2 linked regions of the Caenorhabditis elegans genome follow. The protein of the gene in region 2 interacts with the protein of the main gene of each other region in a biochemical or structural test. Each region holds a gene or a part of one and is shown on either strand. Other genes may lie near its edges.

What was found.
Region 1: of the proteins of tap-1 (region 2) and mom-4, one has a biochemical effect on the other in vitro, tested with the Caenorhabditis elegans proteins (2 studies listed by BioGRID).

What each region holds. Positions count from the first base shown.
Region 1 is NC_003279.8:9,895,142-9,902,614, reverse strand, and holds mom-4 (Mitogen-activated protein kinase kinase kinase mom-4), read left to right. Parts: upstream 1-1,797; 5' UTR 1,798-2,015; coding exon 2,016-2,084; intron 2,085-2,242; coding exon 2,243-2,409; intron 2,410-2,512; coding exon 2,513-2,611; intron 2,612-2,656; coding exon 2,657-2,736; intron 2,737-3,153; coding exon 3,154-3,280; intron 3,281-3,893; coding exon 3,894-4,275; intron 4,276-4,618; coding exon 4,619-4,837; intron 4,838-4,886; coding exon 4,887-4,990; intron 4,991-5,678; coding exon 5,679-5,790; intron 5,791-5,841; coding exon 5,842-5,957; intron 5,958-6,497; coding exon 6,498-6,633; 3' UTR 6,634-6,937; downstream 6,938-7,473. Other genes in the region: lsl-1 (C2H2-type domain-containing protein), read right to left, coding at 1-25, 76-184, 348-614, 851-1,091, 1,139-1,223, 1,271-1,336; col-64 (Nematode cuticle collagen N-terminal domain-containing protein), read left to right, coding at 7,019-7,162. UniProt on the Caenorhabditis elegans protein: Part of the Wnt signaling pathway essential for the specification of the mesodermal cell fate in early embryos. Stimulates the wrm-1/lit-1-dependent phosphorylation of pop-1 and plays a role in the initial nuclear accumulation of wrm-1.
Region 2 is NC_003284.9:14,587,852-14,592,336, forward strand, and holds tap-1 (TGF-beta-activated kinase 1 and MAP3K7-binding protein 1), read left to right. Parts: upstream 1-1,772; 5' UTR 1,773-1,806; coding exon 1,807-1,943; intron 1,944-2,303; coding exon 2,304-2,439; intron 2,440-2,483; coding exon 2,484-2,627; intron 2,628-2,671; coding exon 2,672-2,748; intron 2,749-2,801; coding exon 2,802-2,910; intron 2,911-2,954; coding exon 2,955-3,080; intron 3,081-3,253; coding exon 3,254-3,339; intron 3,340-3,434; coding exon 3,435-3,531; intron 3,532-3,684; coding exon 3,685-3,933; 3' UTR 3,934-3,970; downstream 3,971-4,485. Other genes in the region: bltp-3B (Chorein N-terminal domain-containing protein), read right to left, coding at 27-137, 187-304, 355-428, 654-749, 798-903, 1,192-1,235. UniProt on the Caenorhabditis elegans protein: Involved in the Wnt signaling pathway by regulating mom-4 kinase activity.

The DNA of each region.
Region 1 (7,473 bases), on a different chromosome or scaffold from region 2:
CGTCGGCGAATACTCTCATGCATTTCTGAAAATAAAGTTTACAGGATATTCAAGATTTAATTTTCAATTATTTACCGTGCAATAATTTGGTTCTTCAGCTTCTTTCTTATCATGAGAAGCATACATATGCAGTTGACAATCCTCTCTTCCACTACATTCGCACTTGCAAATTGGGCATCGAAAGCTGTAATTTTCAGATTTTGCATGGGATATTAGTAAGACAATAATTATAATAATTTGCGGTAAAAATACAAACGCTGGTCTTTTCACGTCTTCTTTTTTTGTAAAATACAAAAGGGCGTGCGCCTTTAAAGAGTACTGTAATTTCAAATTGAATTGAAACTTACATCTCAAACTCGAGTGGTTTAGCTTGTTCTAGAACATCGGATGCCATGTGACAGTTAGTCAATCGCATTGTAGCTCTCATGATTTTATCGTCAAATGAAGATAGTGGGATAAGCTGGTTTCGGCAGATCATATCAACCCATTTTGAAGGATCTTTACCCAATAAAAGTTTCGGAACCGATCGCTTCTTCTCTGGATTGTAATAGGGCATCGATGTCCCACGAATGACTAGAGCATCGGACGGAATAATTCCAGACGAACGCCGATTGCTGAAATCATTTTTAAGACGAGATAGATATCAGAATTCCCCTCGTACAACACATATAATTCGTGGTTCGTGTATTATACGGTGGACGTACAATAAATGTATTATTCACATAATATAATGGACGAAGTTCTTAAAATTCGTGCAATGCAATGTGAATAACATATTTATTGTACGTCCAATGTATAATATACGTACCACGAACTATTTGTGAAGGTGAAGGGTCGACCGATTGCCAACCTCGAATATGGTCTATAAGCAGCTTCCAACTCTTCTTTGCTTGTCACATGAGTTCGCATGTGCTTTTTCATGTTTCCTTTCAATCGGAACTGTTTTCCACAAAATGGACACACATAAGGGGTATAGCCGGTGTGAACGGTACGATGCTCGAACATATTCGATTTGTATCGGAATCCTCGGCCACAAACATCGCAGATGTATGGTTTGGTGTCGGTATGAATCACAGAGTGCTGTTGGAGACCTGAAATGTTTTTTTTTATTTCAGCTTTCTATTTTTATGCGAATAACCTTTATAATTCATAAACATTTTATTACACACATTACACTGATGAACAGCAAACGGGGCGACTTCTTCTTGTTGATAGGTTCCGAACTAGAAACATTTCAATAATCTTAAAAATAAGAATCGAAATAAAATACCGTTATAGAAGCTTCGTAGTCCTCGCCGTCGTAAGATGGATCCGTTCGGTCATCAATAATTGACATCTGAAGTAAAAAATAAAATTTTTTGAAGAAAAAATGCAGACAATTTGTTGGTTTAAACATAAAATTAAGACAAACAAAACTCATAAATTAATTGACAGCTTCTCTAAATTTTAGGATTACCGTGTTTGACAGTTTCGTGGTGAGACCCAAAAGTTTCGTTGCGTCATGCGCCTTTGAGCACAGTGTCCCCAACAAAGAATTGTTTCTGCAATTTCGAATTAAGCTGAAAACATTATTTATATATTTAACAAAATTAGTTTAGAACAGAAGAACAGAAAATTAGAACATTTTCGATCTTTGTATTTTTTATACAAATATAATTTGAATAAATTTCCATACTTCTTCCCCGTTGTGTAATTTCTTTACTTTTCAGAACTTAAAACATTCAATTATTCTTTATTTTGAATTTTCTGTAAAACCTGCGCAATTGAATTTTATGTATTTATCAAAACAATTTTCAGCCATGCTACAGTAACTTCTTTAAAATCATCATTCTTCCTTGTCTAAATCGGAAATCTGTCTGTGTCCCGTTGGTCTATTTTGTTATTCGTCTGCAGTTTCTTCTACTTGTGCACTATATCGTTTCCACTGAGCGAGAGAAAGAGTATACACACACAACACATGCCAGTTCCTGTCCTTTGCCGCCCATCACCATTTTTTTCACCGTTTCGGCTCTGAAATGGACAATTCGTCACAGAGCAAACCGTCTAGTAGTTCGTCCAGTCATTCGCCAAGTCCTGCCGCAATTGTAAGTTTAATGGATTTTGAGTAAAGAAAAATAACGTTTTCTTGTAAAAACAGTATTGTATTTAATTTTTAAAAAAATCAGTTGAAGACGTATAAAGCCTGCTTTTACCAAAACTATCAATAAAAATCACTGAAAACTCAATAAATTAATAAATTCAGACACCAACACAACGAACAACACGAGATTCCGGATTGTGCTCAACAATTGATATTCCCGAAATTCAAGCACAATGTATTGATAATTTAAATAGTCATTATCTCGGAAAAGGCACTTATGGATTGGTTGAGAAAACAAGATATAGAAAAACTAGGCAGGATGACTTTAGGTTCGTTTCTAGCTTCAAAAATTTAAATTTAATTCTTTTAAAGCATGAGGAATTATCAAAAGTTAACAAAAAATCAATAAAATCACCAAAATATTATTTTCAGGCCAGCAGCAATCAAATATTCTTCTCAACTTCATATGGCAACTCTTATAAGAGAAGCAAAAGTTATGTGGGATCTCAGAAATCATCCTAATATTATAAAGTATGTTTTTATAAATGGAAAATACTGAAAATAGAAGTTTTTCAGAATTTATGGACTGTACAAAAGCCCTCGGAATGGGCAAGGAGTCGTTATGGAATATATGGATTGTGGAAGCATGGCCGATTGTGAGATTTTCATTTAAATTTAGTGAAAATCCCCGATTTCGCCAAATTTTTTAACATTTTGTCGGTTTATTCCGTGTTTCTTAGCGAATTAAACTACATTTTTTCGGCAATAGGAACAGAAATTTCTATCAGCTAAAAATATATTAAAATACATCAAAAAAGCGGATTATACTGCAAAATATGGAAGAAACTGAATAAAAATCAATATATGGACGCTGTAACACGAAAAATCTGGCAAAAAAAATTTCACTATAATTTTGAACAAAAAAAATGCTATTTGGTTTTTTTTTTCCATTTTTAGTCTTAAAAAAATCGCTTTAAATTCTCCAAACCCTGTTTTTTACGAAATTAAAAATTCATTTCAATGAGGCAATTCTCCAAAATAAAATTTAGCTGAAAAATCTATTTTTTTTTCAGTACTCTACGACAGAACACACATTAATTATACAATTGATCATGTGGCTTCATGGATGTTTCAACTATCATCCGCCGTCGATTTTTTCCATTCCAACAGCCAAGTTCACAGAGATTTGAAACTTCAAAAGTGAGTTTTTGATAGCAGAAATTATTGAAAGAAATATATATGTTGGATGTGAAGATGTTTTCAGTGATTTTTGAAAATTAACAGAAAAATATTGAAATTTTTTTCTTTACTATTAGCTAATATATTAGGTAAATTTTTTAAAAGTTGAAAGAATTAATGGCGGAGATCCTGTCAATTTAACAATTTAGATTTTAGAAAAATTCAACAAAATCTTTTGAAATTTTAAGTGAATTTAGTACAGAAAAGCAGAAATGTTTCGAATCCATTTTTAGACATTCGAAAAATTAATTTTAAAGGGTTCTACATTTTTGTGTGAGCTATTTTTTTTATTTTTTTAAGCAAAAAGTTCCTTGAAAATTGGTCCACAAAATAATGTGTAAAATCTAAAAAAAATCATTTTTAAAAAATAATATTTCAAAGTGGATTTAAAAATATCCTCCAAGAAGAACTAATCATATGAAAATAATTTTAAAAAGCCATTTTAAAAGTAAAAATGAGGAATTTCTTAATTTTTGTAGCTTTTCAAATTTCAATAAATTATCAGAAATCTTTAGCGGTCAGTTTTCAAAATTAAAATTAAATCACCTACTGTGGTCAATCAAAATAATTTCAGCATGCTTCTCTCTGATCGATATCGAACAATGAAATTATGTGATTTTGGAACATTTACCTCAATGCATCAATCAATGACTTCAAATCGTGGAACTCCAATCACAATGGCTCCAGAAGTATTTCGATGTGAACAGTATAATATGAAATCTGACATCTACAGTATTGGAATTATAATGTGGCAAATTATTGCTAGAAATCATCCGTATCGAAGAGATCTCTCAGTTCCTGGACTTTTATATAATGTTGCGACAGCTAACTTACGTCCACAAGAACTCGAATGTAATCCTATTTTGTCTGAATTTTATAAGAAATGTTGGAATGATAATGCTGATATTCGACCGACTTCTTCCGAATGTGTAGAATATTTTACTCTTCTAAAAGATGTAAGTTCTTTTAAAAAATTAAAAATTAAATACTCAACCAGTTAAAAACAATTTTTTTGAATTGAACAAATATTTCTAAAAATACAAAATTAAAATTTTTGGACAATCTCGAAAGAAGGTGCTGCAAAGCAAATTAAATTTTTTGTTTTCGAATTTTTTATTGCGAAGAAATTAAAGTATTTATTGAATTTATTTTAAAGTTTTTAAATTTTAAAAATTGTGTTATTCCAACACAATTTTTAATTTTATCTGAGAATTACTGTATTCGTGATAAGACCTGCTTTTCTATGAAACATATGAATCTCGCCAAACTCCAAAAAAACTAATTTTTTTTGCATTAAAGGAATATCCGAATGGGAGCGTACCTTTATCGGATTCTTCAACAAATGGACCAGCAGAAACTCCTCCACCACATGCTCATCGACCAACAATGCTTGGAACTTCTTCTGGAAGTGGAATAGGATCAAATAATCGAACACCAACTGCTTCAAAACTTTTAAATCCTCAACAACCTGGACAGGGTCATAGAAGAAATCGTAGTGAGACTTTTGTAGTGCAACCGGTAAGATTTTCATTTGGATAGCTTGAAAAACAGAAAATTGAAATTTTAGGATCTACCGTATCCAACGGTTCCGGGTGAAGCTGGTGCATCTAGAATACCAAAATCTCAAAGTGAAGCTAAAAATTTTCGGGATAGAGCCAAAAGCGAGCAAAGGTAGGAATTAATGGAAATGGAGATGAGGACTGTCCTGTTTTTGGGGTTTTTCGGATAAGAAACTAAATATCTAAAGACATGCAAATTTAGACTAGAATAATTGAAAAAAACATTTTCGATTATTTTTCAGACGAAATTAAAAAAAATTGAAAAAATTGTTGTCTTTCTATTTTCTCGCAAAAACCGAAAAAAACGTTTAGAAAATTAACTAAAGGATTAAATGTTTAAAAACTTGTTTTTATGAAAAAAACAAAGAAAGCATGTAATTTTCTTTATAGAAAAGAAAAATTACCAAAATTTGAAGCTATTTTTCAAACATCGATTTTTCAATTTTTTCAGAGAAAGTCAAAAAATTTAAAAACGAACATTGTTTGATTTTTCTGAAATTCTAATAATAGAAAAAACGAAAAAAAGTGTAATAAATATCAATTTAAAAAATGAAACTATTAATTTATCAAAAAATTCATATTTCGATGAGAAAATACGAAAATTGCTTTTAAAAATAGAAATATGACCGAAAAGTATTTAAAATTTGGCATTTTCCAAAAATAAAATAATTTTTTTAAATTTTAGCTTCTTTGGTTCTTAGAGAAATTAAAAAACTAACACTTTGATGGGTATTTCTACAAAAGTAGACATTTATTTTTTCCATTGACGTGGTGTATTATGAAATATCTCTTTTTTTCAGGCAACCACATAGAGACGCACGTCCTCCTCCTCCTTTTGAGCACCGAAGAGATAGCAACGATGAGGAAAAACATGCCGTTTTTATGAATATTTGTTCGAATGAGGAGACTAGAGTAATCCTTCGATGAGATTTGAATTAAATATAATAACATTCAATTTTTCAGCCTATTGATCCTGATACTCGTGACGAAAAATCTTTGGAAATCTTTCATCAACACTGTGATAATAATAAACAATATGCAGATGCTTGGGTCATTAAAAAAGAAGTTATGAGAGCTAAGTTAGTTGAAATTGCTATGTTTCAATGTAAAAAATTTGTTTTAAGATAAAAAGCATTTCTGGAAAAGAGGAAAAATTCAAATTTTGTATCATTGCATTTTCCGAAAAAAAAATCGAAAAAGTGTTTAGATTTTAATTTACGAAAATATCAGCTTTTCATCAAATTGTGTTAAGTTTGTGAAAAAAAAACAATTAAACATGTCATTTTCATTTGATAAAATAAAAAATTATCAAAATAAAAAACTAGTTTAAATATCAAAAAATCTAAATTTTTTGAAAATATCTAAATATTGAATAACAAAAATTACATATTTTTCGATTTTTTATTTCAAATCGAAAAAGCGAAATAATTTTTTTCTAAAACAAAAAGTGCAATTTCAAGTGTTTTTTTTTGAAAAATTATAATTTTAAAAAGTTTTAAGTAACAAAAATTATGGATTATTTATTTTCCAAAATAACGGTGAAAATTTTAAATATCCTGACCGAAATTTTGCTTAAATCAAATTCAAGTCCAATTGAAAAATACAATTAAAAATTTCAGACATGAGCTAATTGCCCAATGGCCTCAACACGATCACACGGTAGAACTTCTTGAACGGAAATATTATCTGGAACAAGAAATTGCAAGATATCGGGACATCCAAGATGATAATTACTTTTCAACTGAAAGAATGTGAACTCATTTCACTTTTTTTAAAAACATTCTTAGATGTATACTCATCTCTAAATAACTTTTATCTATATACTCACTTCTTGTTCAATTTGAATTCTGATCACTTCCTGTCAACTTTCTCTTTCAGTCCCTCTTTTCCTGTCAAACTTCTCTCTCCTCTTTAAAACGCTGGTCGCTGCCGTCTGTCCTTCCGAAGTTCTAAATGTAATTGTTATTATCTATAGATTTGTGTATTTAGTGTCTAGATATCATTACATGACTGTCGATTTTATGACAAGAAAACGTTTTGTGGAATTATCTATCTACACATCCAACATCTGAACGTATCACCCATGCCAACGTGCATATAAAGAGTGATACGAACGGCAGTGAAGAGACAGTCTACTGAAATGGGTTACGGTACCAATGTGGCTTCTGGTGTTACTGTCATTTGTGCAGCTTTTCTTATTCCAATGCTAACATGTACTATTTCTTTATTTTATGAAGTTGCACAAATGCACATGAGTGCAATGGATGGAATGGATGAATTCAAGGTGAGAGGCTAATTGCAGATAGTAGGCTTAAGCTTATGTTTAAGCTTCACCAGAAGATGCAAATATTTTTAGTATTTAAAAAACATTGATTGACTTATTGCTAAATGATTATCATAGTCTCGAAGCGACAAAAAATGTTTAAGTAAGTCTGCGAAAAAAATGGTTGTGCGCCTTAAAAAAGTACAGTATTTTTCACTACCCTTTAATTTGCAACTAATCTCAATATTTTCCATAAACGTAAACATATGAAAACTATACAGCAAAATGAATGAAAATTAATGTACTCTTTAAAGGTGAAAACTCTTTTTTCT
Region 2 (4,485 bases):
AGAAATGTTTCTTTTTAAAAATTCACCTGCTTAAACATCAATGTTCTATTTGTCTCCGAGCACGTAATTCTAGTCTGACGCAAGTCTTTCACTTGAGCCCATCCTGGACTTCTGCTCTCCACTGACAATCGTTGAAGCTGAAAAATTTCATTAATTAAAACATTTTCCGGCTGAGCAAACACAAACCATAAATGAGCCTCCGAATACGTCGGAATCAAAGTTAATTTCTACAGAACTTATATACAAAGACATGTTTTCGATGATTTTGTTCATGAAGCCGTATGAACTGCTGTCACCGAGATTTCTGCAAAAACGTGAAGGGTTTAATTTCGAAAATGGTAGAACTATGCTTACCCAAGTGGATTTGATTTTGCCTGTTTTTTATGCTCATTGGTAAGCTCCACATCCACATTGATTTCATCAATGAACTGAAATTATTTTTACGATTATAAAAGCATGAATTTGAATGAAAAAGGAGTTTATGTGAGACTATGACACTTTTCAAAATATTTATAACTTTTTTTTTACAAAATAGAAAACGTTATCAAAAATGCAACATTTGGCAGATTTAATTTGTCTGATATAATTATTCAAAATACGAGAATAAATTTGTCTACTTCAATTTCTAATTCAAAAAAAAGAAAACAACCTACAATCTGAATTGGGCAAGTTTTCAATTTGGTCCATGGTACATTCACAGCTACACCTGTACAGAATGCTCGTTTGATTTTCAACCACGAAGGAAGCTCCTGAAATTTTGAGTTTATGCAAGGAAAGCATGTACATTTAAAACTCACCAAAATCTCTGTCAAAACATCTTCGTTAATTTCAATAAACTGAAGTTTACTATTTCCTTTTAACACGTCTAAGGATATCTGCTCGGGCTTCAAGTTTTTTGTGAATCTGAAAAAAAGTGAATTTTTTGAGGGTGCAAACTTGATTAAATTCCATAGTAAAACTTTTCAAAAAAAATTTGAAATTTTATACTTATTGTCACAAGTAGCAATTACCAAGATATTTTTGGTTTTTTTAAGCGATTTGGAGCATATTTTGGCAAAATTCCCAGTGGCGTTACAAAAATTTTAACATCCATTTTATCAACTAAACAAGGAGGGTATTATTTGAGAAAAAATATGTTTGACGTTGTCATCGATTTTTAATATTTTTCAATACACTCAAAAATTAACTTACTTGGATAAATGTTTGACTAGCTGGTTTTTGATTATTGACGTCATCTTCGGTGTACAATTCTGCAAAAAAAATCGATTTTCAGGTGCGAACTACAAAAAACTACATAAATACACAGAAAATCATCAATAGAACATATTGAATCAAAAACAATGTGCTCATTATTTATGCGAAAATGCATTAATTGTCCAAATTGCGACTATCGGTTTTTGCCAATGGAGCGCGTTTGGCACACGCGGCGGTGTATGCTTGGGAGGGTGCGTGCGCGCGTCGGCATGCCAATTCTCTCAACGTGTTTGTGCTTGGCTAGCCATTGCTGCTTTTTGATAAGAATAGAAACGCGTTTTGGCGTGAGAAAAAAGACCGGATATAGATTTTGAAGATTAGAATTAGAATTTTTCCCTTTTTTTAAATTGTATTTCAATATAAAAATATAATTTGATTAGAATTTTTTGTTGTTGCTCATTGAACGTTTATATAATAAAAAAGAAAGTAGAAGTAGTCAATCAACAAATTTGTTTATCGTTTGTATTAATCGTTTTCTCTGTCATTATTTCTCTAACTCATCGTGAATTTGATTGTAGATAAGCAGGAGAGCAGTCGCAGAGCACAGGCAAAATGGGGGACGACGGGTTCCTCGATCAATACCCTGCCAACACCGATGCGGGCATTGGCACTGTGCACAGCTGCCGCTACTCAAAACAAAAAAATCCGGTGCAGAACAACGATTTTTTATCGTGCTCCATGTGCATACAGTGAGTTTATTCTACTTTTTTTGTTGCAAAATGAAACATAAACCGATCTTAATTAGGAAAAAAGTCAAATTTTACAGCAATTCAGTGGAAAATAAACTGAACGATTACGTGGGAAAATGCAATTTTTACACTTTCCTTGTCTAGTAACACAATGAACAAAAAATGAAAAGAGAAAGTTTTGGAACGATACATTGAAGGTGTTAAATACAATTTGTTTGCAAGGAAGTAAATGTCACAAGTACATCAATTAAAAAATAAAACTATATTTATCGTAATTTTTTGTTAAAACATGAAAGATCATGTAGACACAGATTAGTAGATTACATTAATAGTAAAAGTTAACAAATTTTCATTTTTCAGCAATGGACCCATCAAACTCTACGGTATTTTTTCCGGATTTAATGGTGGCGATTCAACAGCGAAGTTTGTCATGAACAGATTGGTATATGAGATTTTTGGAGAAAATCCAATTACACCAACACTACTCCCTTATCAAGTGATTTAACAATCAAATTTTCAACTCTACAACTACATTTTCAGGTGGTGGAAGAATTTAAACGGAAATTTGAAAACGTTGCCGAGCGTTATTTGTTGATGAACACCGATGATTTGAACAATCGACTGTTAAAGTTGGAGGAACAGTCGGAAACTGGAAATAATGCAGTATCGGAAATCAATCAAAAAGTTAGACTAAATTTTGAAATTATTATAATCTCCCAAATTTTCAGATTCGCCAAGGTACCACTGCCATAGTAGTCATGATCATTAACCAGGACCTATATGTGCTAAATTGCGGAAACTCTCTGTAAGATTTTTGAAACTGTTTGTTAGGAATTTTTGAAAAAAAAAAACTTTCAGCGCAATTGCTATGAACAGTGAGAACGTAGTGCAGCTCAACTCAAATCTACACAATAATGACAATCCTTTGGAGATTGTACGAATAAAAGGGCTAGGGATTAATCCGGAGGTAATTAATTTTTTTTGTAATAATTTTACAAAATAAGTTTACAGACAGTTCTGAATCCAACTAGAGCGATCGGTGACTTACAACGAACCCACCTGTTTGAAGAGACGGAAGCTTTCAAGAATGCAAAAGGACCACCGGTTATTTCTACTCCAGATGTTCAGTATACAAAGGTTTGCTATGATGAAATGTTGTTCTGGAACATTTTACGAAAAACAAGATAAAAGATCAAATTCAATGAAAATATTAGTCACAACACCTCAGATTTGATTACAAAATGAGAACATGTTTTCTTTTCTTTTTTTAAATGCTTATTTTCCAACCAACAGGTAACTTCTACTTTTAGATCGACCCATCCTGGAGACATTTGGTTCTGATCTCCGACGGTGTAGTTCAGAATCTTAAGGAAGTTGAAGTTGAAAACATCCCAACGTAAGTAGCAAACTTATGGAACTTTTTCGTCAATAACCAAGTCACACGTTTATAAAAATAAAAAATAAAATTTTCATCGATTCCCCAGTTTTCAGAGAAGTATCCGTTCGACTAATTGAAGATCACACAGTTACAAGTACAGCGCAGGCATTGGTAGACTCGTTTGCAAGAAAGCATCGCGATGCTTACACGGTTTGTTGGATTTACCCTTTTTTAGATAAGCAAATTTGAATACAATTTACAAAATTTTACCTATTTCTTCTCAATTCAATTAAATTTGTTCAAACATTGGGCGGATGTATTTTGCTATTCCACATTGCCATATTATTTTTATTTTATTTTCAGATGAGCGACGATAAAAATTTCTGTATCAGTAATCACAGAGAGGAAATGACTGTGATTTATGTGAAGCTCGAGGAAGATTACCAAGCGGCTCTTTACGAACAATTCGATTCAGCGATTTCGACAATGGAATCTACAAATGCAACATTGTATGAGCCCTGCTCGACACCATATGTCGATGCTACCAACTTCAATTCTGGAAAAAATTATGAAAAGATGAAGAAACTACTTCTAACTCGACCTTCAAAATAAATATTGTTGCTAGTAAATATAAATATTTGTTATCATGTATTATGTGTTATTTTTGCGGGGAGTATGATTATGATGCTTTCATTACAAATGTAACGTTATATGTGCCTATGTGGTGCCATGTGCCAGGATGTCCCATCACGGATTGATCTAGAAAAATAGCGGGATTTTTTCGCCCAAAAAAAATGCGACGTCAGCGCGTTCTTAACCATACGAAATCAGTGGAGAACTCTGCGTCCCCTTCTCCCGCATTTTTTGTATTATTGATCTACGTAGATCAAACCAAAATGAGTAACTCTGACACCACTTGTGTGCCCTGTTCGACACCTTACGTGGAAGCTACCAATCTCAACTCTGGGAACAATTTTGAAAAGATCAAGAAACATTTTTCAAGTCGACCGTCAAAATAATTTCTATTGTTGCTACTACATAGATCTAAACTTTTCTTTTCCTATTTCTTTGTTTTATTTTGAAAAAAAAATCTCTGACGAGAGATGCGGGGGAGGAGTTGCTTGAGCTGGTGTGAGATCAAATTTCTTGAATTTCACATCAACG